Linked DNA regions of Bombyx mori. The main gene of each other region encodes a partner of the protein of the gene in region 2 in a complex. Links are inferred from orthologs where the notes say so. Each region holds a gene or a part of one and is shown on either strand. Other genes may lie near its edges.

Region 1 (3,780 bases), on a different chromosome or scaffold from region 2:
AAGAAACAACGAAAAAAAAACATTTTTATATAAATCTCTCAGCGGTGACTGCGCATTTTGAAGCAGACGAGAATATAACCCACATTTGTGAAGTGTGGTCGTTCAGACCAGCAATACCAAAATGATTATTGAATTTCTTTCTCTAGATGTCAAAGCTAAAGCGATATGAATCTTTGTTGTAAAGGAAATGGTCCAAGAATTAAAAAAAGTAAGGTTATCATAATACTTACAGCTTCTCTTACTCCAGGATCGTCATATCCTTGGTCTATATATGGTAATGCATCTACGACAACTTCTCCTGCCATTTTCTACAAAATTTATAACTCCCTTTACTACGAATGGGTACTGTGATTTATCACTTTATATTAAAGTTTTAACGCTGTTCTTTGTTTATTTGATTTTAGTTGTGTCACTTGTGTGACATTCTTCGTTTGAGCTAGTTTTAAGCCTAAAATGAACAGGCAAAAGAAATATAGTCCATATAGCTAAATCTTTTGAATTCCTCGATATTCAATAAATTGATATTAAATTAATATTATATTATAAAATGGAATTTAATGAAAGAAGAACACATCGAGTAGATATTAGATGAGTTGATAATGAAACAATGGTGCTTACTGAGAGATCAACGAACTTATTTTGAAAATATTCTCGAGTGGCAGCCACACACGACGCAGCTTAGATAGACTTTCGACGAGGTGAACTGACGTCCTACTGAAAGTCGCAGGAATCTAATAAATACGGTCGCTGCACGTCTAGGAGTGGATGATTTGTGTGAACACGTCCAATGTTTGTTTGATTTTTTAAAACTTGTGCCATTTCACATGTATTCAGTGATTAAAAAGCTTTCATTACTACAAAATTAGACATTTTATTACAGATACATTCGCGAAGCAGTTGCCCTTAGCTGTTAGATCTCCTACGGAGTCGTGGCCAGGTCAGGCCTTCGGTACTTTGGAGGATTGGCTTGTGCGGCTTTTCGAAGCCTGCCTTGAGCCCGGACGGAAATCGGACAGATTCATCCTTCTGAGGAAAGAGGAGCTCCTCTAGGAGTCATCCGTGGTGTACCACCACATCGTGTTGCTGGACGAAACTAGAAAATTGTTGGAGCAAGTCGTGGATGCGTCATCTGCCCCATCCCCAGGACGGGTTCCAATCGGTCAGCCGAACAGTACGGCTTCAGAAAGGGCCGGTCTACCATCGACGCAATCATGCGTGTGTGTACCCTCTTTGATGAGACTGTTGCCCGGGGCGAGGTGGCAGTTTCCTTAAAGTCTCAGTAAATAACCATCATTTTACTTAGATTTCACGCCAATTGATTATTGTTTCAAATTAATCAACTCTATTTCATTTTACTTCATATTATCATTTTTCATAAAATACAATGATAACTTAGGCTGTATCGTATGATACTTTTGCCTTTCCAGTTGGAAAAATAGAACTACTACAAATATTGACAGTGGACAGTAGCACTATTGTCAAAGAATAGTGTTATATTGATAAATGTAAATTAATGATAATAATGTCAGACTTAGGTGGTGGTACCGTACCTACTGTACCTACTGAAATATTCCTTTTAATTTGCTTACATACTCTTTTAACGTAAATAAATAGGTACGACTGTCACGGAAGGAAAAAGATTGTTATTGTAAAATAATTAGGTGCTTTTTATATTAAACTTAGTGTAATTAAAACTCGTGGACCTATTAGTCAATGTATTGAAATGTAATTCAATTTGGTTTTTTCAGTAGAACAAAACAAATTCAAGCTTCCAAACCACAAGACAAATTTCTTTTTCGTCTTGTTTATATTCTACTGAAAATGACCATCCAAGAAGATTTAACTCAATCCGAATCCCCACAAACGGATTTAACTAAGGTTTTAAATTTGGAATTATTATTATTTGTTGTAAAATTTAATGCAGTACAAACTTCACGGCCTTGATTATCTTTATAAACTTCCTAATTCTAGAAAACACAATATTTTTTTATAAATGAGAATAATTTATTTTTAATATTTAAAAAACAAATTGCAGGTTGCGGCATTACATCAAAAACGTACATTGGCATTTGTAAATCATTTCCTAACAATAAATGTACAATTTCTGAATAACTTTATGACGAATTGCGAGCAGAAACTGATGCAGTTTGAGAGAAAATTAGAAAAAGTTAATGCTGCCATGGTTTTGTTAGAATCTAAGGTGATTATATTTTTATAAATTATTGTATGTAAACAAAAACGGATATCTAAAATGTTTTTATTTTCTATCATTAGTCATAATAAACCATTTCTGCAAGACCTTCTCTGGAAAGCTGTTGATTGATCTGATAAAGTAAGAGCAGCCTATTGATATATTTGCAATGCATAAAGCTTCAATTGAATTAAAAAAAAAACGGTCTCCTACCAGATTAGAAATTAGACTACTACTAATTTTAAGATATGGCATCATTGCATTTCACCATAATCCTTATTCAGGTTGTGTTTATGCCATTTCTTTAATTGCCCATGTGCCTCAAAAACTTCATTTTAATTGATAGCATACATCAAACCGATACATAAATAGATAAAACTTATTGATTTCAGTTATCTTCAATACCAGAATTAGACATTCCTAAGCAGACAAATACAAGTAATGTTACAGAGACTGAATCTACTGAAAGTCAAAATGAAACAGAACTCCAAGAAGAAAATCTAGAAAGAAAACTAGAAGACCAAGCCCCAGCAGAAATGAAAACTAAACCTGAATATGATAAATTTGTTAAAATGGTTCAAGTAGGAGTGCCATTGCAGGCAGTGAAACTCAAAGTCTCGTTAGAAGGTCTCGATCCTGAAATACTGGAGCAATTAATAAAATAAAATAATATTTTATTATTTACATTATTGTGTTGTTAGCATAGTATGATCAAATAACCATAGTGTGTAAACCATAGTTTACTTTTATAGAACAAACAATAGAACAGTGTATTCTGTGATACCTCTAATCTAATGGGATCATAAGTGTAAAATTAATAAAATAAAATAATATTTTTTTTTTGTTTAATTGTAATCAACGTATAGTTTAGAAAATATTATCTTTTATCTATAAAAATATCATTCTAATTGTTAAAATTGTAATGTTTTTGTTCTTATCGTTTTAAATAATGTAATAGGCTCAAATATTTAAGTAGCATTCCTTAATATTTTTATGAAATGTTGAAAATGTTGTTTTTAATAAAGGATTTTATAATCATGCAAGATTATTGATCACATAGAGGTGGACCTAGAAAAAAATCATTAAATACTTCTGAAAGTTGATATATGCTTACTATTTTAATTAATTTATTTTGTGAAACATGTTGTATGCGATTTATTCCTTTTTTTGCAAATAAATAGTATTCTTATAGGGGTAGTAGGTGTATTGATTTATGAGAGATTTATTTGACGTAAAATTGGCCATGTCAGTTAGATTGTGTACAATCATGCTACAGAGATACTATTATATTATATTCTAGTAACAATAATAGGCACCTATAGGCATCAAATGTTGTACCATCCTAAGTAATTGCAGAAATAGTTCTCTGCCAGCACCCTGATAATAAATAAAAATAAGGCTGGCCATACCATTAATATTTTTATGAGACATATTAATTAATGCTAAGCATGATTTTTTTATTCCTACTCATAGAAGTTATAGTTATAGTATTACCATACGATGTGGATGGTAATAAAGTATAGGTGCAATAAATGGGAGGTTTTAAGGATGCATCTGGTCCAAAGTGGTGACCTTGATTACATATTGAT
Region 2 (4,095 bases):
TGCAAACGCTCATTTTACACCAGGGAGAAAATCGTTGCCAAACTAACTATACAACGATTTTCGATGTTTGTGGGATACATCTCACAAGTAGTATAGCAGCTGAGATGCTCAAAAATAAACATTTACAATGCTTACAAAAGGTTACTAAAAATTTGAAAAGAACGTGACAATTTAAAGAAATTAAAAAATATGAGAGCGGCGTACAGATGTGAAAGAAAAAAATATTGATAGAGTAATAGTGATGACATATTTAAACTAAATCCCAATTCTCGAAGTCGTATTTTCGCAGAAGCAGCCTGTCATAACAGCATCATATCATAATGTCGCATTCACTTCGTCGACCACAAAATTATTTTAAGCAGACAGACCCGATATCCTTACTAGGATAATCAGAATTAGGGTTTTTTTTGTTGGGACTATTAGTCTAGTACCCAGTTTTAACAGATCTTCCACAAAATTAGCAAAGCCTAATTCAACTACTGTACAAATTAATAGTTTATTAATGACATGTTGATTTTTAATTGAAACAACACTGTAACACAACAATTTATTTAACCCGCGCTAATCGTACTTTAACGACTAGTTGGCCGTCTTCACTGACATTTTTTTGTTGAAGTATTGTTGAAGTTATCATTATTTTTTCGATCTACTTATGAAATAATTAAGCAGTATAAACGCACTTGTTAACAAAACGCTAGTAAACACGGCCATTGCCAGCTGACTGACAAAACCGGCACATGCGCATTGTAGGCGTGAGGTGATGGTTTGCTTATTAGATATAAAATAATTAATAATTGGGAATTTAATTATTTTTATGAACGAACAATCACCAATAGTCATCGAACAAACGATAACTTATCAAAATTAATTAATCTGAGCGATAAAAATAAAGATATCTAGTAAGAGGTGGCAACTTAAGGGTGATCATTTGTTTAATTAATTATAAATAAATAAAAGACGAACAAACAATTTTTGCATTTGAACATTAACGAACAAACGACGAACAAATAATTAAAAATAAAAATAAACCGAAAATCAAAAAAAGGCGGGCCAAATTTAGTGAGCCCCGCTGAACGTAACTTCTTGGGATCCTCCAAAAAGTCCACTTAAAAAGTCTCAGTAAATAACCACCATTTTACTGAGAGTATATTTCATCTCATATCATTTCATTTCATTTCATACCATGTTTCATATTTATCAAGTTCATTTCATAAAATATTTTTTCAGATAAAAAATATATATAAAAGATTAGGCTGGATGGTATGATACCTTTGCCTTTCCAATTGGAAAAATAAAGGTATGTAAGGTAGGTAGGTATAGAATAATTCTTGTGATTGTGTTTATCAAATACGGTAGCTACATTAAAATTATGAAACTGTTTATGTCCGAAGACAACCTTTGTTCTCAAAACCTTCTCAAATTAATTTCTCATGGCAATGCTATAATTGCGGAAATACTTAGACTCAAAGACCATAATCCAAAAGTTTACTTGTGAGTATTTTAATAGTTTATTATTAATAATGTAGAGATTCCTTGATGAGCTCGTGGCCCATATATAGTAGAACGACCGTTTCTCTATTCAATACGAAACACACAGTTGCTTTATGGCATAATAACATATAGGTAGGATGGTGATTCCTACTCGTCTTAACACCAGTAATTGGTAGGTACGTAATACTTGTGTTAAAATAATTGTCGTTGTCTATCAAATTGTTCAAAGATTAGGCCTATTTTCAAAATGAATTTATTAGGCAATGGAATCTTGCAATCTACACATGTAATGTAATGTTATATATCGAGGGGTGGTAGGCTATACGCGATTTTTATCTTATAACAATTCAATATTTTTAAACAAACTTCAATTATGTTTACAACATTCAAATATCTGAAGAAGTTTTTTTACTTGATGTTTTTTCCAAATTTCAAACTATAAATGAGTCGTCTATTATCAAAGGTGGCAATCTGTGCATTTGGACAAAAAAATGTTATTGATATATCAATACAGATTGATTTGAATATAATCGTCTCCTTCAAAGAATATGGTTCAAAACCTGCATTAAATAAACTCAAATAGCTCTCCTATAAAATTTCAAAGATGTCGCTTAAACAAATAAGCCTTTCACCCCTTTATATAATATTTGAGTCGACTATTATCAAAGCCGGCAATGTGACTTTTGGACAATTATTGGTAAATCAGAAAAACGAATTATTGACTTTGTATTCTATTGGCAGTCACAAAACTCTTCTGAACGACATCTTAGATAAATAACAGGTTAAGTATTAACCTTTATTTAATGCAGGTTTTGAACCGTATTCTTTGAAGGAGACGATTATATTCAAATCAATCTGTATTGACATATCAATAACATTTTTTTGTCCAAATGCACAGATTGCTACCTTTGATAATAGACGACTCATTTATAAGACTTATTTAAAATGTTTCTTTGTTTTGAAACCATTTCTTTCCCTGGCTATTACAGATTGGAAAGTAGAGAAATACAACAAAAGTACCAAGATGTGATATTGGATTTCAGTTATTTTAGAATATCTGATGCCCATGAAGCTAAGATTAATGTGAATTCTGTAAGTATTATTCAAAGAAATCATTATATATTTTTCAAGATAAAAAAGCAGACTTTTGTCCTTTGTGTGAGGCTCAATGTACTATTTTTAATCAAATATACAATAAGAGCCTGCTTAACCCTTTTTAGGTTTGAGTAACACTCATTTATTTGAATTGTGGAATTCCCTGAAATTCCACATAGCATTAGGCTTCTCTAAGCTCTACTTTAATGAAACATATGCCCAGCATTAAGCAGAATCGTACTGTTAATAAGTAAAAATGTGATCAGGTAGTAGCAATTGACTATTTTTATTTAAAGTAAACGTAATAAGTTAAGGATAATTGTTAAATTGTTAAATTATTTCCTTGCTGAAAGATACTGTTTTCAGAAACTGCAAGATTTAGATGATGATTTAAAGGAAAACTATCTGGAAATAATTACACGTTTTTATTTTCTATTTGAAAACATATATCAATATATTATTGATCTGAATGTATTCATAGATCAATTGCAAGATGAAGCGTTCATCCAACAAAACATGGAAACTGTTATCAAAGACATTGAAGGAAAACAACTATTGGTAAGTCATATTATTAGTTTTGATATAAAGTATGTGGTTCTTAAACACAAAACTACACAAATCAATCTCATCTGTTTTTGAACTGGCCTCATTTAATGAACTGGGATTTAATATATTTAAACAGATTGTCAATTCCTTTATTTATTGACATTTGGCCTACCTTCTAACTCTCCATCCATCCATCTTGCAAAATATGGAAATAAAAAATGCATAACACCAATTTTAAGGGTGACTGAGTGATGTGGCATAGCACACAAGCACCAGAATAGACCCTAAGCGGTGGATTTTAGAATCAACTTATGTTCCTGAAGACAATTGTGTAACTCATGTAACAAAATAACTTCAAGGATCAAATTTTCAAGCAAACATATGTTTAAGCTTTGTTAGCATACATTGACGCCTGAATCTGAAATAAATCCAAAATTTTTTCTTCTGCTTTCCCAGTATGCTTTCAGAAACCAAATGAAAGCTGTATCTTGTGTACATTCGGACCTCTGAATAAAGATATACTACGTAAACATTTATTTATTTCGCGTGTGTTGACCACGAGGAGGTTTTGAAGTCGTCGTGGCCTAAAGTATAAGACGTCCGGTGCATTCGTATCTAGCGATGCACCGGTGTTCGAATCCCGCAGGCGGGTACCAATTTTTCTAATGAAATACGTACTTGACAAATGTTCACGATTGACTTCCACGGTGAAGGAATAACATCGTGTAATAAAAATGAAACCCGCAAAATTATAATTTGCGTAATTACTGGTGGTAGGACCTCTTGTGAGTCCGCACGGGTAGGTACAACCGCCCCGCCTATTTCTGCCGTGAAGCAGTAATGCGTTTCGGTTTGAAGGGTGGGGCAGCCGTTGTAACTATACTAAGACCTTGGAACTTGTATCTCAAGGTGTGTGGCGCATTTATGTTGTAGATGTCTATGGGCTCCAGTAACCACTTAACA
Region 3 (3,571 bases), on a different chromosome or scaffold from region 2:
TGATGGAAACTACAGCTACATGTATCCATTTAAAAATGCAGAAAGATTTAACAAGGGTATAAAGGTGTTGGGACTTTCAGAGGATGGACAGAGTTACTTAGATCTGTTTCGAGATCTTATTAGTCAAATTGGAAACGCCATGGGATATGTTAGGATGATTAGGTCAGGCGGCCGACATTGCTGTTCGGATGCGACTGTTTTCCTGCCAAATCTGGAAGATGTTGTTAATTTCAAAGAACTATGCCAAAAAGAGGCTCTTGGGCCCCAGACTGTTCAATCAGCGGAAATTCTAGATCAGAACACAAACGACCTTATTTCCAACTTTATTCAAGGAACTGAATATTTCAAGCTGCTGGTAGACGTGTTCTCACCCGTTTTCCGAAATCCTAAGAATGTTCATTTGAAGAATTTTTATATTATTGTTCCTCCATTGACACTTAATTTTGTGGAACATCTAATCTTGTCGAAAGATAAAATGTCGAAAAAGAATAAAATAGGAGCTGCTTTTACTGATGATGGTTTTGCTATGGGAATTGCTTACATACTGAAATTACTAGATCAGGTAATGTTAACAATTTCATCTGCTTATGAGTTATAGCAACACTCATGACGATCACTCTTCATGTCCCCATTCGATTCATCCATATATACCAACCTTACCTTATGTTACAACACATTTGTCTATGTAAAAGAAATTAAAAGAATTAAAATTTTCTAATGTAAATCTAAATCGCAAAACTAAGCGCGCTAAATTTATCACTCTATGTAATTAACATTAATAATTATTAATGAGAATGACATAATGTGAGCTAGCACGAGGTTTTCTCGATGAGAAGAGTTCATATGCAATGTAGCCCACAGACACAAATCGAACACTGAGTTTCTCGGCGGGTTGCAATTCCGATTTAGGAAAGCACTGCTAGAAACAAATCTGAGACAAAAACAATTGTTACCGCTTCAGTATAATATGGATCAGACCGAAATCACTTTCCATCGTGGGTGCAAAAGGATTGTCAGTCTTTCATAACAAAAAAAAATAGTTTTCCTTCTCAAGTACATATTAATATTGAACCTATTTTTTTTAGGATTCTAATTTTGAATCTCTACACTGGTTTGAATCAGTATGGAAACACATTGATGACGAAAGAAAGTTACTAGAAGAACAGAAAAACAAAGGAACCATTCAATTACAACAAGCCTTAGCATTGACCGAGAAGAAAATAAAAACATTAGAAGAAGAGTACAAACTCCTCTATTACAGTCTTACAAGTGCCAGAATATTTTTTCGTTAAATTATTTAAAGTCGGCGATGAGTGTTGAAGTCTACTCTATTTAAACTATTAATAGGCATATGCTGGGTTAAGTCCGGACGAAATCGTAAGCACTATAGCTGAGACGGCTTACCTGAAGCGTTCGTTTGGAGATCCACGCTGCACCATCTTGACAATAGGGATTCAAACAAATGTTGCTGATTTTGATTGAAAAGTGTTGTCATTCTTGTTCAATTTAAAAATCAACAAATGAACTCTTATAAAAAAAGCTACGGAAATATTTATCTAATATAATAACATATTGAGTTTAATAAGGACCAAAAAAAACATTATTTCTTGAAGGTATTTTCGGTTAATAAATAATAATTTAATTAAGTAACAGTGACTCAACGATTTCTGTTACCCCTTTCGTTCAGGCTATTCTAATTTCTATATATATATATTTATTGCTTTGTTGGATGGACGAGCTCACAGCCCACCTGATGTTAAGTGGTTACTGGAGCCCATGGACATCTACAACGTAAATGCGCCACCCACCTCGAGATATAAGTTCTAAGGTCTCAGTATAGTTACAACGGCTGCCCCACCCTTTGAACCGATATATTTGTAATGTCATGAGGTAAACTCTAATGAGATATTATTATCTTACACTGTAATTGTAGAGTAGAAGGAGGTGTTTAATACATGGACCACTGTGGTGCGTCATTTATGGTTTACGTCATCACGTTACAATAGCAAAATTTCAAAATATATAAAGAAATTCCAAAAAGTATTGCACTCACATTTTATAATGATCATCTTTAAATGCTTTTAGATTGTTTTTTGTCACATACCGCAAATATTAATCTAATATATCTGAATTGTAAAATAATTATATTTTATCAATTTATTGCGACCTACTTGTTATATTTCGAACAGTGTTTGGCACCGCAGTAAAAAGTTTAGTTGCAAAGCAACAGAGCTGTCATTTATATTTTTATAATTTTTAAATTTTGTTTCTAAAGTCATTATGGAATAAACTGTCAGCCATGAAAGTCGCATCATAATTTTATTTTATTGTAAAAATCTTCCTCCTCACAAATATAAATATCTAAATAAGAAACCGTCCGCTACATGGTCCATCGAGCCGAGATACCCAGGAAATAAGGGAAGTGATCAAAGTTTGATATTCAGGACATAATTTAGTGATGTGTAACCCATTACTCTGTTTTTTGTTTAGATTATTTATATTTATCATATTACAAGCTGGGTTAACTATGTGGTTTGTTTAATGTGTTTTTGTTGGCATTTTTTTGGTAATAGTCTATGTCTCTCACACTTGTAAAATTATTATTTAATTATTAATTATAGGTGCGTAGATAAGTGTGACTGTATAGTTCATTTTAGTTGTCATTATAGCTCAATTTTTCAATTATAACTTCTATCAATGCCAGATTAACTAGCCCGCTTCTGCCCAAATACTTCCAAAATGAGTGAGAAAGATCAAAAAGAGCTAGTTAAAAAACGAGCTAGTCTAAAAGGCCGATTGACTACATTCCGAAAGTACATCGAGGAATTGAGCGGTACGTTGAATCAGCAACAAGTAAATGAATTGCAATTAAGAATTGGTAAGATCGAATTATTATTTGAACAATATGACGTAGTACAAACTAAAATAGAATGCCTCGCTGACGATTTCAGCTCGCAAAGCACAGAGAGAGAAGATTTCGAATCGATTTATTACAAATCCCTTTCACAGGCTCAGGAGATTCTTTCTCGTAATTCTAAATTGTTACAAACCGATGCGCATAGTTTTGAGAGTTGTTCTCATGTGAGCAATCATCACCTGGTTAAATTACCTACCATTAACCTACCCAAATTTAATGGTTCATATAACAACTGGTTGGAATTCCATGACACCTTCAGTAGTCTTATACATTCGAACGAGGCGATAGGAGAAATTAATAAATTCCACTACCTCAGGGCCTCGCTAGAAGGCTCTGCTGCTGTACTACTTCAGGAGATTCAGTTCTCTGCCAGCAACTATTCTGTGGCGTGGAAGCTGTTATGTGAGAGGTACGATAATAAGCGCCTATTAATTCAAACACATGTTAATAATTTATTTAATATAGACGCAATAAAGAGTGAATCTTCGTTTAATTTAAGACGTTTCATAGATCAGCTGAATAAAAGCCTGAGAGCTTTAGAGTCGCTAGGCGAACCGACTGATCATTGGGACACTCTTCTCATCCACATGATGAGTCGTAAAATCGAACAGAAGACGCTGCGTGAATGGGAAGAGTGCAAAGGTCGTCTTGATA
Region 4 (3,571 bases), on a different chromosome or scaffold from region 2:
TTGTAAATTGTACAAGCAAAGAACATGTGACACTAACTCTTATTTTAATGGGAATATTTATGATAATTGGTATTATGTATGGTTTTATTAAATGTTACAAGAAATACCGAAAAATGGAAGATATTAAACCAGTTTTACCAAGTGGACTAGGAGTCCCCGAAAAGGATATTTCGAAATATGCTATTGGTGGTTGGAATCCTACAAACAAGGATGAGAAACCATCTTCAGACGAAATGTTGCTATTACCAAATAGTAGAACCACTGTATCTTCAGAATTGAAACAGAAAGAAAACAATAACAGTGCTTCTAGTGATCACACTGATAGTACAGCTTTATCAGATACATCACATGGGCCTGTAGAAAGACAAATCTCCTCATCTGATGATGGATCTAATTCATCACTACATCTTGAAGTAGAACCTACGAGAACAGCTGACAGTAACATCGATGGCGAATCATGCAATTCCGAAACTGAAACATCACAAATACCGTCACCATTCTTTAATGATAATACTTTCAAGAAAAATCCATGTGGCTATGTGCAACAATCTGTAGTGAGTCCTAATACAGGATATGTTCAAAGTGTTCAAGCAGGCGTTACAAACCCACCACAACCCTCATCACTCAGTGCCAGCTCTAGTTATGTAATGGCAGCTCTGTCTCCACCTATATTTACGACACGTGTTGCTCAACCTTGCGTAACGAGTTCACAATCAGCAGGAGGCTATGTGCACCCTGAAGGTGCTCAAACTATATCAGCAATGAATTTCCCGAAATTGGGGCAGACAACGAACAAACTGTTTGGTCCTGAAAGCTTGCCAACAATGCAAACCTTGCCACCAGCGAAACACACTGCAGACAGCAGCTACATTCAACTGCAATCTCTAGATTCCTTGCCCAGACACAAACATCCTGCCCGAAGTACAGTGCCATTAAAGACGCCAGCGTCTACCGGCTACGTCCGCCAAGGTGACGCTGTTATTAATAAGCACCTGAATAATATGCTATCAGGTGTTCATTGTGGCGAAGAATCGGCTATTTTGGATCCTGCAATGTCGCCTGACGCGTACTGCAGATTTTCATGGAGTACCGATCCAGCCAATGACAACATTCATTCGTTACTCGCCGATTCGCCTAGATTAAATTCATCGAAAAACGGAGTCAATCATTAGTGATATATATATATATTTAATTTAGTAACCAAGATGTAAATAATTGACTTTAGGAGCTTTATAACGTGCTATAAAAATTGGACATAATATTATTTTACATTTGGGAATGAATGTGTCTAGTGATAATTCTTGTGCCTTATTAATTTATTTTAGGTGATCATAGGAAGCTTTATAGGTAAGAGTCATATGTTTAAAAACAGGAGAATTTAAAGCGGTTTTAACAGAATCTTATGGACTAATTGGTTTGTTACAGATCTTGATATAAAGTATTCGCTAAACAAAGATTAATTATGGAAGGTATTTACAAAATTAATCTTGTGCCAAGCGACTTGAGCACTGAAGAAGCCATCCTTCAGATTGCTGACACTATTGATAATCTCAATGGGATAGTGGAAGACGTGTTCTCTCGCTTAACGCGGCGAATCAAGCAGAATGTAGATAAAACCGCAAAATTGAATGAACGCATCGAAAACTCTAGGCTTAAAGTTGAAAAACTGACTGGAATGCAGAGAGCCATCAAAGTGTTCTCGAGTGCAAAGTACCCGTCGTCAATAACGCACGAGCATTATCGATCCGTCTTTGATTTGGAAGGCTATCAACATGTGCCTAAAAATGTTAAACTGAGTGCTAAAACTCGGGGGCCATCTGATGATAAAAGAATACAGGTAAGAACGCTTGTCTTTGTCGAAATAATGTTCGTTCAAAATTTCGAGTCATAATTGTTATTGTCATTAATTGATCTCGTAGGAGAAGCTACACTTCTATCATGTTAAAGTTGCGGAACCTAATTCACTCAAGCCCGATGAAGATTTTAGTTTGAACGCTGTTATTGATAACCTGGAAACCATCGGTGAACTTTTAGTATTTAACACCGATGAAAGCCCTTACTTCGGTGTTACCTCTAAAACACCAACCTACAAACCGGTCATCAAGAAATCGAATATTGAAAATAAGAGTCTAATAGAAGCGGCACCTTCGTCTATAATGAAGAAAGACGTCTTGAAGCGCGAAGTAGACGAATACATGTACGCACCTGGGATGGGAATGGTAAGTGAAAGTAGCAAATGTTATTCGGTTGATGGATGCTATGACAAATCGGAGCGTTTTATAACACTATAAAAATTAAACAGGTACCCGAAATGGAGATGCCGTTGGATTTACCGCATCTTCCAGGAATCGCTGAGGACATACAATATACTATCGCGACTGAAGGGTCTATAGCCCCGTCTGTCGTGACGTCACCGGTCACGCCGATCATCGCCATTCCTGAGGTGGAATTACCAGAGTTGCCCGATCTAAAGGAACTACCTGACGTGAAACCAGAGCCCGTGGCTATACCAGATATACCGGACGCTCCTCCGTCACCGGTTCCTGTTAGTGTGCAAGCGTTGCCACCACCGCCGCCCCCGCCACCGCCTCCGCCCCCGCCGCCGCCTATGAAGGAAGTAGAGCTCACACCATCAAAACGGTAAGATTTCTCATATTTGATTAATTTAATCTAGGACAAAAGAACACTTTTGCATACAAATTTCGAGTATTGATGAGGATAATCGTGTACATACTTACCAAACTTATTTTATTTGTTGCGCAACTTTAGGAAATGTTCGACCTCTTTCAAAGTTTTTGCATGATATTGCGGCCCTTCATAAAACTAAAAGCGGGGGCTACAGGACTCTCAGGTTGAGAAACAGTGTACAAGACAATTCTAAAGCAATAAAAACCGTGGAAGCGCAACGTTTTTTGCGTTATTTTACCGTTGATGCTAACAAACCGTGTTGTATTTTAACCTTTGACGGGCCACCGTAATTGTATTAATTACTTACATACACGCGCCATACAACGGATCGATCCATTGAAACTGTGTACACAGTAAACACGACAAAAACATTAAGATTAATTTGAATGTCCATATATTTATCTCTCTCTCTCCTTGACCTTTCGGTCATTTGTGTGAAATCTGATTGGTTATATCATTAATAACAATATTTCTAAAAACTACAAAATTTGACCATGTGTATTATTATAAATCCTGTGATTATTTTTATATAACTAATGAATGCCAATAAAGTTAAACAATCCCAGGTCCAATTTTCCAAGTAAGTAATCGGTTTGCAGTTGGGTTATATTACCTATTTAACGCGGCGGGCTTCGTTGTGTGAGTCTTTTTAAGTCAACCCTACATACGGCCATGAGCTTCTCAAGTTTGCCACTTCTTCTTAGCACTGTGCTCAAAGTCCTTTAGTACCCCAAAGATGGTAGCGTACAAAATAACCTTAGTACGATGAGCCAAGGAATGTTCCGTATTTTTTCTTCAGAATCGTATCTCGAAGGCGCTAATGCAGACCATGTCTGCTTTCTTAATGATCCATGTCTCACCGCCATACAGGAATATTAAGAAC

What was found.
Region 1: WASH complex subunit 5 (region 2) and WASH complex subunit 3 share a complex: the UniProt entries of both Homo sapiens proteins name them as parts of the WASH core complex. The link is inferred for Bombyx mori from reciprocal best matches to the Homo sapiens genes WASHC5 and WASHC3.
Region 3: WASH complex subunit 5 (region 2) and WASH complex subunit 4 share a complex: the UniProt entries of both Homo sapiens proteins name them as parts of the WASH core complex. The link is inferred for Bombyx mori from reciprocal best matches to the Homo sapiens genes WASHC5 and WASHC4.
Region 4: WASH complex subunit 5 (region 2) and WASH complex subunit 1 share a complex: the UniProt entries of both Homo sapiens proteins name them as parts of the WASH core complex. The link is inferred for Bombyx mori from reciprocal best matches to the Homo sapiens genes WASHC5 and WASHC1.

Annotation. Positions count from the first base shown.
Region 1 is NC_085118.1:943,097-946,876, forward strand, and holds WASH complex subunit 3, read left to right. Parts: upstream 1-1,465; 5' UTR 1,466-1,614; exon of another isoform or gene 1,615-1,661; intron 1,662-1,748; 5' UTR 1,749-1,821; coding exon 1,822-1,878; intron 1,879-2,035; coding exon 2,036-2,200; intron 2,201-2,583; coding exon 2,584-2,856; 3' UTR 2,857-3,229; downstream 3,230-3,780. Other genes in the region: pre-mRNA-splicing factor SPF27, read right to left, coding at 231-305. UniProt on the Homo sapiens protein: Acts as a component of the WASH core complex that functions as a nucleation-promoting factor (NPF) at the surface of endosomes, where it recruits and activates the Arp2/3 complex to induce actin polymerization, playing a key role in the fission of tubules that serve as transport intermediates during endosome sorting.
Region 2 is NC_085117.1:11,760,609-11,764,703, forward strand, and holds the start of WASH complex subunit 5, read left to right. Parts: upstream 1-1,287; 5' UTR 1,288-1,369; coding exon 1,370-1,491; intron 1,492-2,474; exon of another isoform or gene 2,475-2,480; coding exon 2,481-2,583; intron 2,584-2,952; coding exon 2,953-3,144; intron 3,145-4,095. UniProt on the Homo sapiens protein: Acts as a component of the WASH core complex that functions as a nucleation-promoting factor (NPF) at the surface of endosomes, where it recruits and activates the Arp2/3 complex to induce actin polymerization, playing a key role in the fission of tubules that serve as transport intermediates during endosome sorting.
Region 3 is NC_085118.1:10,736,422-10,739,992, reverse strand, and holds part of WASH complex subunit 4, read left to right. Parts: coding exon 1-562; intron 563-1,085; coding exon 1,086-1,292; 3' UTR 1,293-3,571. UniProt on the Homo sapiens protein: Acts as a component of the WASH core complex that functions as a nucleation-promoting factor (NPF) at the surface of endosomes, where it recruits and activates the Arp2/3 complex to induce actin polymerization, playing a key role in the fission of tubules that serve as transport intermediates during endosome sorting.
Region 4 is NC_085123.1:3,001,236-3,004,806, reverse strand, and holds part of WASH complex subunit 1, read left to right. Parts: exon of another isoform or gene 1-1,347; intron 1,348-1,425; 5' UTR 1,426-1,462; coding exon 1,463-1,837; intron 1,838-1,919; coding exon 1,920-2,219; intron 2,220-2,302; coding exon 2,303-2,640; intron 2,641-3,571. UniProt on the Homo sapiens protein: Acts as a component of the WASH core complex that functions as a nucleation-promoting factor (NPF) at the surface of endosomes, where it recruits and activates the Arp2/3 complex to induce actin polymerization, playing a key role in the fission of tubules that serve as transport intermediates during endosome sorting.